4 linked regions of the Drosophila melanogaster genome follow. The protein of the gene in region 2 interacts with the protein of the main gene of each other region in a pairwise test. Each region holds a gene or a part of one and is shown on either strand. Other genes may lie near its edges.

Region 1 (3,264 bases), on a different chromosome or scaffold from region 2:
ACACGAAACCAACCACCCGCCAAATCAAATCGCCGTCGAGTTGTGCATCAAATGAATGTGCGAAAAGTGCAGTAAATCAATGTTTTTGTGAGTGTTTGAAAGAAGAAGACGGAAGGAGCGCCCACAACAAAAGCAAAGAGAGCAAGACCTAACGGGACACCCGAAACCAAAAACCTATCGGCACAACGACACTTTCTCAATAGCTATAGTTTTAGTTCATATGTTCATATCTCGGAAAATGGACGAGGTCTTTAGCCTACACATGGAGAAATTGGACGTTTACGACGGTTAGTATCTAATTTGCCGGAAGTTCTACTTAAACGTAGAACATATGTATATGATGGAATCTGGGTTGTATTTCTGATTAATGAGTTCATCAACTTTCAAGGAAATAATAATAGTAGTAGTAGTTGTAAACAGCTGAAGTATTGGGTATAAAATAACACTGATATGGGTAAAATCATAATAGACACTTTATTTGATTCAAGACTCGCATGATTTTAGCTGTATGAATCATGTCGAAAATAATAGAAATCACTATTACTAAATATAGATAATTTTAAAATTTAGATTCAGTGCAACATGGATACAGTGATTAAGTGTTACAATATAAACAAAAGTAAAAGAAAAGTACAACAAAAACAAGTATTTGGTGAGAAATGATAAAAACTCACCAATAATGAAAACCATTTATGTAGGATTTTAACAAACACTGTTCTCGTCTGCATGAGTGCTTGTCTTTGTAATAGAATTCGAGCAATTGCACCATTTTAATCGAAAAACTAAGATGATACACATGGTTAACAACCATGGGAAATGGCTTAAAAGTATGAAAATATAAGAAGGTAAATCAGGAGAAGCTCCTCGTTAGTCATTGTCCTTGGGATCGGGATCTGGTTCAGCGAGAATCTCCTGGATGATTCGATGGCCGTCCTCCGTTTTCTCACCCTGAATGATCAGATCTCTAAGCGTAGATATATGTTTTTCACTCGTCTCGATCTGAACCTTAAGAGCATCGTTTTGCTTCCTCAAATCATCGATGCGTTTCTTACGTTCCTCGGCCGATTTCTTGGTCTTTTCGCGTGTGCGCTGAACAGCCTGTTCCGAGAATAGTAATAAATCAATAGTGGGCATCTATTTTTGGGGACTTCTGGGGGCCACGGCGCCACAGCAACATGTTTCCCAATCTTTGCTCTCTGTTTACATCCAAAACTCTTAAACTTACCTCATTGTTTTTCTTTCTTTTTTCTTTGTACGCTGGATCGTCTGTGTGCGGACTTAATGGCGAATCGCTATTTTTGCTGGTCGACGCGGCAGTTCTCTTTTTGGCCGGCATTATCTCCGTGATAATACTGATATTTATTTAGTTCAAATTGGATCGCAATCGGACGGAAATGCAGAAGAAAACACAGCGATGTATGCGTTGTTTTGTTGTGAAATTACACGATAAAACAGCTGTTCATTAGCCCTCCCAGTGTTGCAAAATGCGCTGCCTACACTGCCCAGCCAACAAACAGTTAGCGGTATTATTTAATTAAATTAATTGCATGTTGAAAATCAATATTAAAACTCACCCAAAACCATAGCCATGGAATGCTATTCAAAAACTGTCAACCAGACACTTTATTTGGTTTGCTCAGACTTTCACTTTTTAATTTCTCAACTGTTTATACATTTTATTTGTAAAGACTGATTGCTTGTACGTAGATGTAGTTTAATGCAATAAAATTAAATGAAATGTAATACGTAATAGTCAATAAATGTTTTAAATAAGCAACAGTTAAAATTACCAACGTGTTTTTTCCAACACTCCACCCAATAAACAAATTGTGTCAGAAGTATTGGCTGCCGGCGCTTTACAGTACTGGATTATTTGCAACCGGCTTATTATTGCACAAAAATCTAGTGAAATGTCCTCGCCAGCCCCCAAATCGCCAGAGCTTTCGGATAAAAGCAAGAAATACGACAGACAAATCAGGTGAGGAGCGTTTTAATTGATAAATTCGGAAGCATAGCACTGATGACACCTATTTAGGCTGTGGGGAGAGCATGGACAGACGCTATTGGAGGCAGCCACAGTATGTTTGGTGAATGTTACGGCCGTCGGCTGTGAAACTGCCAAGGGACTGGTGCTACCCGGTATCGGAGGCTTCACTGTGGCCGATGGCAGCACCGTCAAGGAGGAGGATCTGGGCAACAAGTCGGTAGACCATCACACATTCCCTGACCACCATTATAAAGTCACTTTTTCCGTAGTTTCTTCCTCGATTCCAGCTATCTGGGCAAATCTAAAGCATTGGCTTGCATGCAACTTCTCCAGGAACTCAATCCCGACGTAAATGGCGATTATGTCGACGAGAGTGCCGACTTTTTATTAGCCAACAGACCGAACTTCTTCGACAGCTTCGATTTAGTGATTGCCTCCAATCTCAATGAGCAGACTTTGCTTCTCCTGGCCGAACGGTTATGGGAGCTTAACGTTCCATTAATCTACTGCCGATCGCTTGGCATGCTGGGCACAATACGCTTGCAAATACGGGAACACTGCATCGTGGAGGCGCATCCGGATAATCGACAGTTTGATCTGCGTCTGGAGCATCCATTCGATGCTTTGCGGGAGCATCTCGACGGCACCGAGGTGACCAGTAAGGTGCCCTGGTTGCTGGTTCTTCACAAATACCTTAATGTGTGGCAAAAACAACAAGCGGATGGGACTCAAACGCCTCGAAATTACAAAGAGAAGAATCAGTTGAAGGAGACCATTAGAGAGGAGATGAAGGCGGATGAGGAAAACTATGAAGAGGCCATCAAGGCGGTCAATACAGCCTTTGGAGCGGGACAGGTTCCCAAAAGCCTGAAAGCCATATTCGAAGATGATGCCTGCGAACAGTTAAACAAGAAGGTTGCCCATATAATCTGAATTTATACGTATACTTTACTTTCATTTGTTTTTCTTTTTTTTTTACAGAGCAACGTCTTTTGGATCATGGCCAAGGCCCTAAAGCACTTTGTGATACATGAGAATGAGGGCCATCTCCCTCTGCCTGGCGTTCTGCCGGACATGACTGCCAATACGGACTCCTATATCGCCCTGCAGCACATCTACCGCCAACAGGCGCTGCAAGACGCCGACCAGGTGTATCACAAGTGCCAGGAGTACCTTAAGCAGTTGGCTTTGCCTGCCGACAGCATTGATGAGAGAAGTGTGCGTCTCATTTGCAAAGAAGCAGCCGGACTGGCGGTCATAAGGGGTACACGCATTGC
Region 2 (6,963 bases):
GCGGCTAGTGTGTCCACAACACAATCCTCGGAGGAGCAAGAATCAACCACTAGCGCAGCGCCGGCGGCGGCGGCTCAAAGAGCAGGAAGCCAGTTGGTTGAGTCCAATTCTTCCGACGATACACTTTTCTCCGATGACTACGATCCCAGCTCGAATCTGAGTTTGAATGCCGTGAATGGAACGCGGCTACCGAATGTCCAACCAATTCCGAAAAGGCGCCAGTTTGTGCATCTAAATCGTGAAGCTATGGCCATTTATCTGGCGGGAACTACTGGGGGATAATGTTTGTTTCATTTAGGATATTTTCATAAATTAAATTTGAAATAACACTGTTACCATCTATGTAACCATCTATCGATAGTTTCCGCCATGTTATTAGCAGCAGAAACAGCTGGCTGAGCACCAGGGCTGCATTATTGTTTGTTAGTTTTGCTGTTTGGTTTTTAACAAATTTCCTGGTTTTCCCTCAAAAACCCTCTCTTATATAAATAAATCAAGTGCAAAATGCTGAGTCCATAACAACACACGTAAGTTTGTTGGCAAGCAGTGAGTGATTTCTTCGAAAAGTGCAATTCCTGCAATCTGTTATGTTTTCACAATGACTTTTATTCGATCTTAATCTAAACAGTTTAAAGCTCAAATAAATGTAATCAATTAGCAAGTATTAGCAAATGTTAATAGGCGTTGTTGTTTCTCGACGTCGCTGCTGCTGCTGCTGTTGTTGTTGTTTTTGTTGTTGCTGGCGCTGGAACTGGTCATCGATGTCGATGAAATTGGCATCCTGCGTGTTATCCTTGGGCAGCGCTGCCGGCGTCGCTGCCGCGGCATAGTAGTTTAGGCCCACGCCCACCGCCACGCCCCCAGTGACGCCTCCGGGGGGCATGGTCGTGGCAGCCTGACCCATTATAGAGCTCATAAAACCATTGGCCACGACAAAGTTTCTGAAAAATTGATTACATCAATGTACAAAATAATTTCGAGCAACCCCCTCCGGCACAAAAAAAAAAAAAAAAAAAAAAAAAAAATATGGAAAAAAATGATATCGTCTAATTGGGTCTGTGTGCGCATAAATGTCGTAAAATTAATTTCGTGTTAATTTCATGTTGGCCATCAATTAAACTAGTGACATTTCACTAAATTACTTCCGTTTCGAAAATGCAGGTATAAATACCCAGTTAAAATCCTCTTCACGAGCTATTCATCAACCATTAATTTATGTTCATTTAATATTATTTAACTCAATCAAAATCGATGATATCTTTGTACATATGAAACAGAAAAAACGATTCAAATTAGCTAAAGGGGAAACCCACCTGTAGTGCTGATCGATCTGAGCCTTTTCAATGCGTTTGTCCTTGGCCCTGCGATTCTGGAACCAGATCTTGATTTGCGTTTCGGTCAGGCGCAGCGTTTCGGCCAGCTCGAAGCGACGACTCCTGGAGATGTACTCGTTCCGATGGAACTCCACCTCCAGGCGAAGCGTCTGCTCTGTGCTGAAAGTGGTCCTCTGGCGGCGTTGTCTTCCCTCCTTGCGTCGCCTGCGAGCCACTGAAAGTCAAATACATTGATATCCTTACAATTAATACGTGTATAATATCTAGTTGGAATCAGCTTATTAGTTATGTAAACCCCGCACCATTCAGTGTGTACAATAACGACATCCGTCGGATAGCATCATTTTTTCACAGCCCACCCACTTTCGTTTATGTCCAACACAATGGAGATGTTAGAGCGAAATTAATCTTACATTAACAAACCATCAAGTTATGAGCGGGACTAAACGTTTTCGAATGTGGTTGCGTGTCGCTGCGTCAGTTAAACAAATAATTAACCACTCCGATCCGTGGTCCATCCGTCGTCCTCCCTCTCTTGCTCTCTCCGCCCGCCCACCTGCCAGAATTCGTCGTCGGTCGCGTTTGTGGTGCACATTAAAAGTGCATTTACCACGTAGTTTCTGTTCTCTATGTTTTTTTTTTTACCACGCTTTTCATTTCGGCAATCTATGCTGATCCGGGAAAGTTATAACAATGCCAACAGCTGGCTGGCCATCATCATCATCATCATCCTCGTCGAAATTCTCGGCATCATCCGCTCTTTCGAGTTTTCCATTCTGTCGTTTGATTGTTTGCATTCGCAGTGTCGCCGACGATGAAGCTCAACCAAGCGCACATTATGCCCCACTTCATCCTGCAACAACGAGCACCTGCCACCCAGGAACACCCACCACAAACACCCACACCATGGTGAATGTTGCGGTTTAGAGTCTAATTGATGTAACAAGGCGAAGCTGACAAGTTGCTCGGTGGTGTTAGGATGGTGGGGGGGGGGGAGGGGGGGTTTCCCCGGGAAGGGGTTGCTTTGTGGGCGTTGTAATCTCTAGCTTTTGCTTGATTACCCCTAGTCCGGATGGCTCTGGAGGGGCTTAAGCTCTTCCCTGATCCTTGCCGAAGGTTTTTTTTTTTTTTTAAATCACGTGTGTAATTCGATAGCCAAGTGTCCTTTCGGACGGTTTGTTGTGGCTAAAAATGAGTCTTCCTCGCTTAACCCTCCTCGCTTGCTGTTTGTGTTTGCTTTTTTAGGTTTCCTGCCGAGCTCAATTACAATGCTAATTTTTTCAGACACTTGTTATTTTTTTGAGATTGACCAAAAGTTTGGCTTGTAAGTTAGTTAATTTAAAGATCAAGTACTTATAGTAACTACCAAGCTGGTTTAGCATTAAATATATCAACTGTTCTGAATCTAAAAAATGCTTGCATATGTAGAATACGTTTCTGCTCGTAGAAAAGGTTTCAAAGTGTCTTTAACTTTGATTTCTTGCTTACGAATGGCTAACCCATTCACCCTTAACCTGCGATCATTTTCATTAGCCGACGCATTTCCATGTTTCAATATCCCCTCAACCTCATCTCCGCACCTGGCCACCTTGGCCACCTCATCAGGAGCAAACGAAAAAGCCGCAAGTAAACGAAAACTTTCACGGCTCAATGCGTTTTAATTTTTTCTTGGCATTCGGTTATTTTTTTTCCTTGGCTAATTTCTTTGCATTTGGGGGTCAGCAGCAGCAGCAGCAGCAGCAGCTCATTGTGTGGCATTGCTTGGTTGCCCCACCTTAGTTTCGTTTATTTTTTTCCAACTGATTTTACATAATCCTGGCCAGCGCACTCGGTGCGAAGATGTGGGGGATATTCAATATTGCAGCACTGACGATTAATCAGTTTTTTTTTGCGTATCCGACTTTTTTTTTTTGCAGTTCCTGCGGAACCAAGTTCATCTGGGCTGCACCTGCGCAGGCGTGTGAAATGCTCATCACTTCCTCTGGGCCTTTTCAATCGTAACTTTCGAACTCTTTCGGGGATCGGGCGGAAATGTTGGCTCCCCTGGGCTTCAGCTGTCCGCGATGCTTGCTCCTGCGACGTGGCGCCGAGCGTTGGGCCTCACTGGCCCGCCAATTGTCGGGCAGCAGCTCCCAGGATGATGCCAGCAGCAAGGATGCGGCCGCCCAGGAGGCAGCAAGTGGCTGTCCGCCCAATAGCACAACGACGGGCACTGACACTCCCAAAGCCAAAGATAAAACCACCAAGGGAAGGAAGCGGCTCAGAAACATAGAGGTAATGTTGTAAGCTAGTTGTTATCATTGCTATTATAGGTTAAATATCAGTTGGTAAGATTGTAGTTCATTAGAAAGAAAGGATCATCGATCTAGTATTGTAACACAAAACTTAGTGTAGTTCTATGAACTTCTAAAACTATTGAGCAGTATTATCGAAGGATCCAATTGTTATCACAATACTGAAATAACTTTCTATCCTAAGAGGAAAGTGGCTCAAGAGATTGCATATTATATAATCGTTTGCAGATACCTCCCGAGCCCACCACCTGCTGCATGTCGGGCTGCGCCAACTGCGTTTGGCTGGACTACGCACAGACGCTGGCCAAGCTGCTGGGCGACAACGATGAGGAGGCGCGAGAGATTGTGCTGAGCAAGATCACCGACCCGAACCTGAAGATGTTCCTCAGCCTGGAGCTGCGCCAGATGGCTAAGCAGCGGGAGGAGAAGGCGGCGGCGGAGAAAGCAGCGAAGCAGGGAAAGCCAAAGAAATCCTCGCCCCCGCCGTAGTACAAATCCCCGCTCACCTAAATATCTAGTTAGGACCAAATTCGTAGTAGCTCAAATTTACTCTTGTACTTAGTGTGTAAGAACTAAGAAACCTCAAAATAAACATGTAAGAGTTAAGGTTCTGAAGAAGTTATTTTCGTAGTTCTAAAGATTCTGCATAGCTTTGCAAATATTCTACACATTGTTAGAAACCATTCTTTTTTAAATGTAAGTACTCACGAAATGCGGAAAAGCCGGCGCTGAAGTGCGGGTCACTTGGGAAGCCGGCTGGGAATGCGTGTGGCAGGACAGGATTCGCAGCTCCACCGGCGGCAATTGCTGGCGGCGGGCTCACGTAGCTGAGTTTCTGGTGCACCAGCTGCGGCGGATGATGGTGATGATGATGATGCTGCTGGTGCTGCTGGCTAGGATGCTGCGGATAGTCCTTGGCGTGACCATAGAAATCGTAGGCGGGATATGCGGCTAGCGAGGTGCGTTCATCGCTGATGGAAATGTCTGGCGAGGAGACGCTTCCTCCATCGCTGTGATAGGGCGTGTCACAGGGCGGCGGCTTGTGGGCGTGTGTTCCGACGTCGATTTCCCCATTTTCCGAGGAGCGCGTTTCCAAATGCCCGTACAGACGTTCGAAAAACTGTCGCGGCGACGAGGGACGTTGCGGCACGGATAGAATCGTAGTGTTCGCTATGGGATCTAAGCTGTCACTCCTTTTGATGCCCGGCGAGCCGTCGGGTGAGCCAATCTCAACTTTGTGACGTTGCATTTCGTTTGAGGATGTGCCGCGTTAGCTGTCCAAACTAATCACTTGGGTAATCGGCGAGCGACTGAAGTGCCACAAATAATTCTACTTCCGCTGGTCAAGCGACGCTTATCCTGACGTCGACGTCGGCAGAGGAACTGGGTGAAAAAAAAAAACAAAGCAAATTACGCGGCACATCAGAAAATTAACAGCAGCAGCGGGGGCGCCTAAAATGCTGCTTACTAATAATAATAATAAAAAAAAAGGACCCCCTTCCCACTAAACACCTGAAGTGTGGCCTGAAACCCGGTTTGATTGGCTGAAGTGCCGTGCAATTAACCCCTAATTTTACTTCCGGCCAAAGTTTCACTTAAGGGTGGCAAGCAGTGTGCCTAAATAAGCTCCGCCCACTCTTAAGCAAGCAGTACTCACGTCTTCATACAAGCAGTGTGTGCGTACAGTCCCTGGTTTAGCCAAGTTTCTTACCTCGCCAGTGCTTTGCGAGGACAACAACCTTAAGAGCGAGATCCCTAGAGGTGGGCAATCAGCATTTGCTTCTTCAATGTATTTCATGCATTTTTCAAACTACCATAAACGGTCCGTCTAAATGGCAAAAAGTCTATATAAGCAACCGAATCGCGCCACTATCTGTAATTTTACATAGCGCGCGCGAGGGATCGAATCAAATCGAATCGAGTCGAGTCGAGTTCGTGGATTATATCAGCATGGATAATGTGTTCCCAAAACTTCGGTGCGTAAACGTGTGCTGTTTTGGGAAAGAAGTATCGATGAAGTGATAGTGATCGAAAGAACGAAAACAAAAACAAACGATTACGGTTATGTTGCCAATCCGTCTGCGCTGCGCAACCGATTTGCACGTACCGTTAGTTCGCGCAGCTGTCGCAGCCACCGAAAGTGCCAATAAAGAATAATAACAATAAACAAAGACCAACAAGTGGTGACGAAAATAAGAAAAAAAAAGGTACATCCCTTCGATTTTGGCCAATTTCGATTTTGTTTATCGAATTCCCATATCCCCTCAAACACCACAAAATGGGAGCAGTGCAAAACAAATAAAACCAGAAAAATTGCAGCGACTTTTGTTTGTTGTTTTCTGTCCGGATATTAATTGAATGGCTTTTATTTGGCCCCGGCGTGCATTTGTGTTTGTTTCTCTGACGGCTCTGAGCTGCGTTTGAGCAATGCAAAAATATTTTGTTAAAACTCGTTTCGTTTCGTTTAGAGCTTATTTGGCTTAAGCCCGCGAGTGTGTGTTTTTCAGTCGCCGACTTTTTTCCATCCATCAATTTCGGTTTTTTGTTACACTGACATATGCAAATTTTTTGAACATTTTTCGTGCGTTTTATTTTTTTGAGCTCAATTTATAAATACCTTCTGGTTGCACAGAAAAATGAAATTCAGACATGAACCTCGACTTAAAAAGTAATCAAACTGGATTGGAATCAATTGCAAAACAATCATATTTAATGAATTACAAACAGTAACCTTAAATTTATACATCAATACATCACATCATTGTGCTGAAAGACCTTAAAATAAATTTGCAAATATTTAAGCATAGTGTTTTGAGTCTTTAGAATGTTTGTATATTTTTTGTCGTGTGTAGAGCCTCTTCGGCATTTCCTCCTCCAGGCGATGTTTAATAAAGCGAAACCCACATGTTGTTCATTCTGTTTTCCATCCAAAAACAAACGAAAAAAAACAATAACATCAGCCTTTTCATTTCCATTGACATTTATGAGCGGCGCTAAGGGTGCACGCTGCCTCTCGCTCGCACGCAGAACTTCCTGCCTCTGGCCATCCCGCTTGCACATGCAGAGGCGTGGGCGGAGGCATTCGCGAGGGGCTTATTGTGGGATTTCTTTTGATTCCCTAATTCCCACCGCGGGATTTCTCGTGGGCTCGTTTTCATTATCCTGCGCATGCGCAGCATATTACGGGAAAATTGTTATGGAAATGAACGCGGACTTTTATGTTTGATTGATAGAAATGTCGCGTACTTACCAATTAACAGCGCAACAACAACGACTAACAGCTGTTGGCAATGTGTGTTGTCCGGTTACCGTTAGAAATTCGAGTGTAGAATAGT
Region 3 (4,890 bases), on a different chromosome or scaffold from region 2:
CTCGGACTCGCATTTGGACGTGGACTTGTATTAAGTTTGTCTCTGGGAGCGTGGGCCTAAGTGGAGCACCATTAGCCACGGGTTGCTCTCCGGGGTTAAGCACTCTATTTGGCCATTTGCTGGATGCGTCGAATGACGATGGAATTGTCTTCAGTCTGGGGATGGGGCAAAATGGGCGGGGGAGACCTTCGAGAACAGTGAAATTCGAGCTGACAATTGAGTGAGCCCATCAATTTGGAAGGTTAAGTTAGCTGGCCTGGGGCATTCCAATAATAAAGGTGTCCAATGGCACATGGTCTATCCATATTGGTAAAGTCAATCTCATTATATTAACTCAGCAAAACTGAAAGGTAAAGCATCTTCCTACAGTTATAATCCTAATCTTTTGATCAAGTTGGTATATCCTTTTAATCCGTTGAAAATCCAAGCAAAACAATCATCCGAATCCATCTAAAAACCTGTGCAAAGTCATGGCAAATCCAAACGGGCTTAACTTGGCACCTTCTCCGATCCGGGACTTTAAACGGTCTCCAACTGTTAGTATTTTGCAACTGGACATTACAATCCGCTTATGCGAAAAACGAACACCCACAGAGACGGAGGGAAAACTGCCCAAATATTGTATAATAAACTGTTGTCCAACTCAAAGATAATCCCATTAATCCGCACTGAAAATTATTAGTGTTGTGCACACACACATAGTTTCGGACAGGAAGGTTGAGATGTGAAGATCTGAAAATCTGGAGATCTCTGGGAGATCTTCAGCACAGCATGATCCTGACTCTGGACTTTGGGTTTCCGTGTGAAGGGCATGCGAAAGGCGTTAATGCTGCGTGAAATTAGATTTGCAGCGATGGGAAAGAGAAATAAAATGGCAAACTGCAAACAGAGAGTGAGATTATATATGGCCAGATCTCTGGTAAGAGAAGTAAGTGCGTCGGGGGCTTCCACGAAACTCGAGCCGCCTCGAGAGTTACAGTTTAACACCCCGAGATAAATGTGTAGCGGTATGGGCGATAACAGGCTCAAAACTGGGTCCAAAAAAAGGGCTCAAAGCAGTGACACACACGTCGCAGGACGTGGGATATGGTCGAAAGCGATTACCACACTTCTTTCACCTCGCACCGTGGTCATCCCTTTATTTTTTGTAGGAGGCGGACAGTGAGTTGGCAAGGTGCCATTAAAAATTACAACCGAAAAGTGAAAAGAAGAAACCGAAGCGAGAAAAAATGACAATAAAAGGACATAAGGCTCTGAAGACAAAGGCACCGAAGTCCATTTGATACGAATCTAATTGTGCTAATGGCGCAGAATTCCCGGGAAAAACACCCACACACACGAGATCCTGGCCTGACAACAGAACCAATAAGTCGGTGGAAACAATTAGGATGTGTGGCACTGCCACTTCAGTGCGAACAAAGGAATACCTTCGTAACCCCAAACACAAACACACCACAAGATACAAAGATACAATGCGGCAAGGTATGAGCGATCTTCCCTAGATCCATCGCAAATCGGATGGGAATTTCGTGGCCGAAGCAAGTCGATTTCGGACGCTTCTCACCTTCAGCCCGTAAGATATGACAGTTGCTCAAAAGTCGGCGCAGATTAGCTGCCAGCTGAGCCCATTTACCGTAATCGCTTAGCTAATTAGACTCTAATTGATGGAGCGCAGCGGGAGGTCCAGACGAGGTCAAAGATCAGACAGACGGGAAAGAAATGGTCGCGGGAAAGCAGTAAGAATTTCAGAGGTCACGAAACTCTTACAACAACTTTACTTCAGTATAACTATGTTAAACGAATTTCCCTATATTGTAAATGTTAGTCCTACTTCCAGAAAGTTCCCCTAGAATATGGGTTCTGATTTCTGCGATTTCGCACCAGATTCATTGGAATTTTCGCACAAGTGCCAAATCTCAGGTATTTCAAAGTACCTGACTTTGACGCAACTTTTTGAACATCTGTTGTTAGCTTGAGCCGTACTCATTGGTATTTCATAATCCAATGAAAAAAGCACAACTCCATGACTCATAGGCAAATAACTTGTACCAAAACGGCTGATGATGATATGCCAAACATTCTTGGCGATGATTTGCCGTGTTTTGTGCGTCCGCGATCAACCTTCGACAAACTAGGCTTTTTGTTCTTAATGCTGACTCATTAAACTTCTCAGCTTCTATTCTTTCAATCTGAAAAAATGCCGACGGCTTTAAGAGTTTTCAATTCCTAGACAATTTCAATGGAAAACGACTGAAACCTTTAAAAATAGAACAGGTTGAAAGTTTAGGATACAATAAAAACTTATATTTGTTCTGAAGAGAGCTCAAATGTTTTTTTAGACCAACTTTAATAGAAAATAATATTAAATAGTTTTCTTTTCGAAAATTAATGAGCATTTTTTTATGAGATACAAATTATTTCTTCTTCATTCATTTCGGAAATTAATAACACATTTGTACTATACAATGAGAGATCAATAAACTCGGTTGTATTTCAAGTAGATCACCCATTTTGGGGAATTCGTGTCAAGAAGTGCGGGTAAAAACTTTTTACAGTCCAATAGGGAAATATTCGGACTTGGCGTCCGCCATTTTGGCAAATGGCGACACTTTCTCACGCACACAGAGGCCGAAAAGCTCCGTTGGCCACACGCATGCCATATTAGACGCATCGCCCCTCTCCCTCTGGCACACTAAAGAGCCGAAGTGAGAGGCCCGGGCAGAAAGAGAGGCCGATACACGCACCCGTGTTACGTGTGGGGTTTACTTCTTCTTTTCTTTGCTCAGTTTTCAGTTGTCCAATGAAAGCGGCGTAAAACTGGTAGCGAAACAAGTGTGGAAGGGGGAAGAACGACGAACAGAAGAACACGAAGAACGCCATTGAAGAGAGGAGCTGAAGAAAGACTTACCCAATGGGATGCACTGGAGTTACGCGTTCTTCGGACTCGAGTAGAGGCTAACCGATTTCTATAGCTGAGTTTTGTGCGATTTTCGTATGTCCGCTGAATGGATAGATCGATTTGTATCTCTTTTGAAGGTACTCGCGAAGGAAATGTTACTGATGTTGTTACTGATACTGTTACTGATGAGAGGGAACTATATACGCACGCTCGAGCGGCACAAAGTTGAATGAATGAATGCTACTAATAACTGAAAGAAATAGTAGTCGCCTCTGCCGCCGTCCTCTGTCGGCGTCGCTGCCGGCGTCGCTGCTGGCAAGTTGAGGAAGCGAGATCATCGCTCTGTCCCTGTCTGTTACTCAATTCGGTGGCACTGTGTGAGTGTGTGTAAGTGTGTGTGAGTCATCCGAAGAGAAACGAAGCAAAACGAAGACCGGTAGCCGAAGCTACTGCTCATGCGCAGCGCTCGCTAGCCATCCCTTTCGCTCGCCCTAAGTTCTTATGCGTAAGTACAGAAGCTGGCAAACGGAAGCCACAAAATGGCGTCTCTTCTAACGGAAGCCAAGCGTAAAAGTCACAAAATGGCGTCACTTACCTATTGCGAAAGCACGAAATTCCGTTTGCTATTTGGCAAGACACAAATTGTATGCAATTTCTGTTTGGTAGCACTGTGTTGGGTAATATTATTAATAAAATATATTTCACTTCCGAACGCTTCTGTGCGCGAGAGTCAACTGCAAAGTTACGATCGAAAACTTCAGCTTGATGGGTTGAACTTTTTCTGTTTTCCTTTTTTTGGTTACCCTCTTTTTTACAGCCCTCTCTCGGTTGGCTGTCCCTTTCCCACGCACTGTTTGGGTCGCGGAGAACGAGTTTTGAGTGTTTCAGCTGATTGGTCGGAGGAAAATGAGCTAAAGAGCGAACTGAGAAAACTGGAGAGTGAGCGAGCGAGAGAAGGCTACCTGAGTTGAGTGGTTTCGAAGGCGTTACCTGAGTTGACTGTTAATTAAGCTTAAGTAAGCCAACATTTCAATTAAGTTTAGGCGACTAATGAGTGAAAGGTGTGCTGGATAATGCGGGCTGTAATAAGCTTGCGATTTCTTTGGATTTCCTCGGACTTCTTCTCTGTCTTTCTAGCTGCTGTTTGGCTAAAAAGGTAACTTTCTTTCACTTATACCTGTGTATATTTTTATAGATGTGGGCGTGGCTTTGGGCGGCGCTCTGTCTGTCCCACTCTTTCGCGCCGTCTCGCTCGCTCACCCCCTTTTTAACTGCTTCTTAACCCGTTTTGCGAGCGAGCGAGAGGCCAAATATAAAAACCAGTGGCAGAGCAGAGCAACCGTATTACGCAGTGCTCAATTTTTAGTGTATTTATCTTCTTTTTTTGTGGAGCTCCATTTTGTTTTCAGGGCCTGAGAAACTTTTTTCTCGCATTTCCTTTGGCTTTGCCGCCTCCGCCTTTGTTGTCGCTCTTCTGCTTGTGTGGCCTCTTTAGACCCGAAAAAATAATACTACAAAAACACCATATTGATGGTCTGTTTATCTTTTGTGCCTCACCATATCTGTTTATCTTTTACGATTTCTCAATGAAATCTGAAAAACTGTGTCGTTCATTCAGCAAGAAACTTCATTAACTTAACACCCAGTGTTTTTAATTAGGTGCGCCAGAAAAGGATTGTTTTTAATTAAGTTTTCGCCTGTCCATAAAGCTTAACAAATTATTTTCGACTGCTTTTGGGCATTTTTAAGTGCAATCCGTTGGCAACTCCACTTTGATGGCTTCATCTCTGTCCGCCTCGCTTTTGTTTCACTCCATCTGTGTCCATCTGTCTTATTGTTTTTCGGATCAAATTTGCATATTTTAAATGGCCAATCAGCAAACTCGAAAAGGAGACGTATCGACAATTGTGAGGAGCTTCCTTTTGAAGGAGAAACTAATTATGAACCCTCCAAAGAAGAGTCTGAAAAATGACTTGGCTTACTTGGCAATT
Region 4 (4,043 bases), about 18 Mb from region 2:
CTACAACCTGGCCGTCTACTACGGCAGCGACTACCCGGTGATCTTCAACATCATCCTGTGGTTCATGGTCGTCTTCGGACTGTCTCTGCTGGCTATCTGCTACGCCATCGCTGCCATGGATCCCGGCAGGGACTCCATCATTTACCGCATGACCTCTACCCGCATCAAGAAGGACAACTAAGGAGGAGCAGGAGGAGTTGAGAAGCGAGAGGAGCAGGAGGAGCGAGAGGAGCTTGCGTTACGCTTTGTTATTTCGTCCCCCTTTTAAGTTGAAATTTGCCAACTTCTACTTCAATCCAACAGCGGATAAATTGTGTGTTTGTGTGTGTGCGGACAGCTGTCGCAGTAGTTGGTTTTATTATCTATAAATAAGTATTAAAAAACTTTTCAGTTTTCAATGCAGTTGCGGGCGTCGCAACAATTCCATAGAAATTTGTTACATTTTCCTGTTTTGTTGTACTTTTTAGGTTTATATATATATACGAATATGCACAACATACTCGCCAAGTCAGTCAGTTCTTCAAACGATTCATCATATGTAAATTATCAAAATGTGAAGTGTTGAAAAGTAAAGTTAAATATATATAGCCTAAAAAGACAAAGTTGCGCCTGGTTTTGTTATCTAGTTTTTGGGGCAAATGATAATTGAAATCATACGTGGTATTCTTGATAATTTATTTAATTATTGCACTTATAAAAAGGTTAACATGATAAACTAATATAAAATGAAAGCTATTTCAATTTTTTTCTTCTCAAAATCGTAAAGTATGGACCTTAACTTTTATAGGTTCATGGAATGACTTTGGCAAATTGCGGATATAATATAACACAAGTTTTAAATTGAATATTTAAATGAATTCCCTTTGATATTCGTTAATTCAAGTTACGCTCCCCAATGATCGTTGCCATTATCATAAGGTGAACTACTTCCGCCGCTCCAGGCACAGCATCCATTGCCATTTTGACCCACGGAGCTCTCCCGCAGCATGGCCTGCAGGTGATTAATGTAGTTGATGGCAATCCTGGGTAGGCAAAGATCATATAAATATATTACAGAGCTCTACCGCAGATACTTTCACTTACCTCAAACTCTCGATTTTGGAGTACTTTTTCCCATTTGGCTTGGATATGGGTAGCTTGGAGCGCAGTAAGTCAAAGGCTCGGTTCATGTCCCGCATCCTGGTTCTTTCCCGATCGCAGGCGGTGCGTCTATAGTCCTTCTCCATTTGCAGCGCCTTCTCCCGCCAGGCGGGATTGTGCTCTTTGGCGATGTCCACCTCAGTGCTATTGGCTATACTACCGCCGCTATAGCTCATATACATGGGCGGAGGTACCAGCTCACTGGGTTTGTTGCATTCCAAGCCCACTGGCGAACCGGTGGCCACCTGGCCAGCATGCCACATCGACACCGGCTGAGGTATAACGCTATATGTGGGTGGCAACAGACCCATATTGTGCGCTTCCTTCTCGTAGCCACCCATCACGCTGGGTGAGTAGCTATGCGGATGAGTTGGCGCATATGCCAGCAAGCCTGCTCCATCCGCGGTTAGGGTGTAGTTGAGACTAACTGCCGGACAACTGGACGATTGAGGGGCACCGAGCTCTAGAAGAACGGGCTGTTCCGATGATTCCGCCTCGCCCTCGGATCCACCGCTCAAATAGGGTCCACCGGTGGTGGCTGATACGGGCACCAAAACTGGCGGTGGATCACCCGGTACGCCGGCCGTGGAGCTCAGCAGTTGATCCGTCATCGCTTAAGCCGCTTTTCGAATGACCGATCAAGAGTTCTGGCCGGACTGCAGCAGGTTTACCTGGACTCGGTTGGTTTTTTTTTTTTTAGCTTGTACCTTTTTGTTTTGCTTACTTTTAGTTGCATTAGAGACGACTCTGGCGATCGTGATGAATGGCTCACCATCGATCCATCGATTCGAGACGTGACTACTCATCCGGGGTTGATGAGGGCCACATCTCGTCTAGTTTAAGAGGCCACCGCTTTGTACGTGTGTCAACAGGTGATCTATAGGGGACCAACTTGTCGTCGAGGGTCCTTTTGTCCCATCCAATCGCTGTGCAAACAAAGCGGCTTAATTTCCTCGCTATTGTCCGATCGATCCGACTCCGACGGCTGCGAATGGTGATCGAGGCGCGTGTGGCAGGCTGGAGTTGCGTCCGACTTATGTCGGATCCCTCTCTGGGATCAGCGATCGACGATCGTCGCCACAACTTCAGTTTGAGTTTTTCTTTTTGATCGTCGCTATGTACAAACACCCACACTGGAACTCAGCCCATATGAAAGAGTGTATTTTCGACGCATGTAAACACAAGTGTTTTGACTTAATTAAAAAATACACACATATGCATATAGCTAGTTATGAATATAGGTTCGTCTATATGAAGGTAAGAAACCTAAGCTTGGCCAATCTAGCTCCAAACTTCGCCCAATTCTAATTTCAAACTAATTTGGTTTCTCTCTAGTCAATGAAAAACCGTGATCGCCAGCTAAGTGCTCTTATAATCCTATTAAAAATTATATTACATATTCTATACCTATTTTTATGATTTTTCTTAATTGAAATAGATACTTGCTTAAAAGACTGAGATATTGAGCACAGTTTCCATTATTACTACATATCTTCTTTAATTAATAGTAATTAACTAGCAAATTATTTTTTTCTTCCGAAAATTCAGAATTCCTGAAACTATAAACCGCAAGGAAAAAACTAGAAGAATATCTACTGATAGCCCGCGAAATTCAATTCATGTGCAAGATCTCGGGTTACCAGAAAAAAAAAACAACACACAACTAGAAGTGAGAAAATTACTTACATTTTTCCGAAGTCGAGAGTTATTTTGCTAGCTGGCTAACCAGAGAGGCACCTTTGCCCGGAATCGGAAATGAATATGAGCAGAGTGTAGTTTCTAGGGAAACCTAGAGAGTTGACTTGTTTCTCTCCTTGGCTGAACGTTTCGGGTTTCCAGGAAAATGTATAGACTTGCTAACAACTTCCCAAATGTGGGTCACTGTGGTGGCAATTGCAAATCGAAGCCGAAGTTTATTGTTTTCTGCTTTATAAAAATAAACACGCTGTGTAAAAAATAAAATAAATAGCGAGTACAACGATGCATTAAGTGGGCGCCACACGGACTCAGAGCCAAGGCATAGATCAATTCTGTATAGCTATTTACATAGAAGTGCCTTAGTCGGTTCGGTGCTAAACTAATATCGCTTAGTTCGATTTAAGCTAATTTCATATAAACTGGTAGTAAGAATCGATGTCAAGCAAATGCAGGTACCTCAATTCGGCTACCGTTCTAACTTCCGAACTTCAGGGGTCGTAGTTCGAAGTACTTGTCCAGCACTTCGTCCGTAATCAGCTTGCGGGCGGCCTGATGCTGTTCCACAATGGGTGTGAGCGTCTAAGAAGATCATTTGAGCACATTAATTACAATGTTTTTTGGGAAGATTGTAGCATCATCATTGCACTTACCTCAACTGCCAGCTTCTTGATCTCGCCCGTAAGCATTTCGCCTTTGCTGTAAGCCACTCTCACCTCCTCCAACTTGGCATCGTCCTCCAGGAAGAACTTCAACAGCTGATAGGAGACATCAACTTCCGGAACTCCGCCCAGCTTGCGGTGCTCCTCCACAGATACGCGTCCTCCGGAGAAGGCGTACTTGTTGATCTTGTTCTTAATCTGCTTGGGCGTGTCCGTCAGATAAACAGCCGAGTTCTGGTCGCTAGCCGACATCTTCGTCTTGGCACCCTGCAGCGCCGGGAAGAAGGTCGAATGGATGAGCGCGCATTTGGGAAAACCAAGACGTGGAGCCACATCGCGAGTCATGCGGAAATATGGGTCCTGATCGATGGCGCACGGGATGAGGCAGTGCACCTTCCTGTTGCCGAAGATGAAGGGGAAGGTGCTGGAAATCGCGGGAGCTGCTTGAGCGGCTGGGAAACCAATCTTGCCAATGATGTCTGAGTCCCCGAAGCCAAAGATGCCCTTGACCTGATTGAAGGTAACGCACTTCTGGATGCGAATGAT

Evidence for each region.
Region 1: the proteins of ro (region 2) and Irbp18 interact in a two-hybrid assay, tested with the Drosophila melanogaster proteins (one large-scale study listed by BioGRID).
Region 3: the proteins of ro (region 2) and drm interact in a two-hybrid assay, tested with the Drosophila melanogaster proteins (one large-scale study listed by BioGRID).
Region 4: the proteins of ro (region 2) and sage interact in a two-hybrid assay, tested with the Drosophila melanogaster proteins (one large-scale study listed by BioGRID).

Annotation. Positions count from the first base shown.
Region 1 is NT_037436.4:11,096,775-11,100,038, forward strand, and holds Irbp18 (inverted repeat binding protein 18 kDa), read right to left. Parts: upstream 1,413-3,264; 5' UTR 1,368-1,412; coding exon of another isoform or gene 1,337-1,367; coding exon 1,226-1,336; intron 1,099-1,225; coding exon 868-1,098; 3' UTR 672-867; downstream 1-671. Other genes in the region: CG33947 (uncharacterized protein), read left to right, coding at 239-287, 1,318-1,367; APP-BP1 (beta-Amyloid precursor protein binding protein 1), read left to right, coding at 1,911-1,978, 2,036-2,200, 2,257-2,902, 2,969-3,264.
Region 2 is NT_033777.3:26,876,229-26,883,191, forward strand, and holds ro (rough), read right to left. Parts: upstream 4,944-6,963; 5' UTR 4,878-4,943; coding exon 4,337-4,877; intron 4,232-4,336; exon of another isoform or gene 4,118-4,231; coding exon of another isoform or gene 3,857-4,117; intron 3,609-3,856; coding exon of another isoform or gene 3,366-3,608; exon of another isoform or gene 3,251-3,365; intron 1,549-3,250; coding exon 1,314-1,548; intron 942-1,313; coding exon 665-941; 3' UTR 543-664; downstream 1-542. Other genes in the region: ms(3)K81 (male sterile (3) K81), read left to right, coding at 1-282; CG5500 (uncharacterized protein), read left to right, coding at 3,366-3,608, 3,857-4,117.
Region 3 is NT_033779.5:3,537,996-3,542,885, reverse strand, and holds the start of drm (drumstick), read right to left. Parts: upstream 3,154-4,890; 5' UTR 2,909-3,153; intron 1-2,908. UniProt on the Drosophila melanogaster protein: Putative transcription factor. May function redundantly with odd and sob in leg joint formation during the larval stages, acting downstream of Notch activation.
Region 4 is NT_033777.3:9,261,992-9,266,034, forward strand, and holds sage (salivary gland-expressed bHLH), read right to left. Parts: upstream 2,152-4,043; 5' UTR 1,752-2,151; coding exon 1,084-1,751; intron 1,023-1,083; coding exon 884-1,022; 3' UTR 663-883; downstream 1-662. Other genes in the region: ATP6AP2 (ATPase H+ transporting accessory protein 2), read left to right, coding at 1-181; TrpRS (Tryptophanyl-tRNA synthetase), read right to left, coding at 3,313-3,417, 3,489-4,043.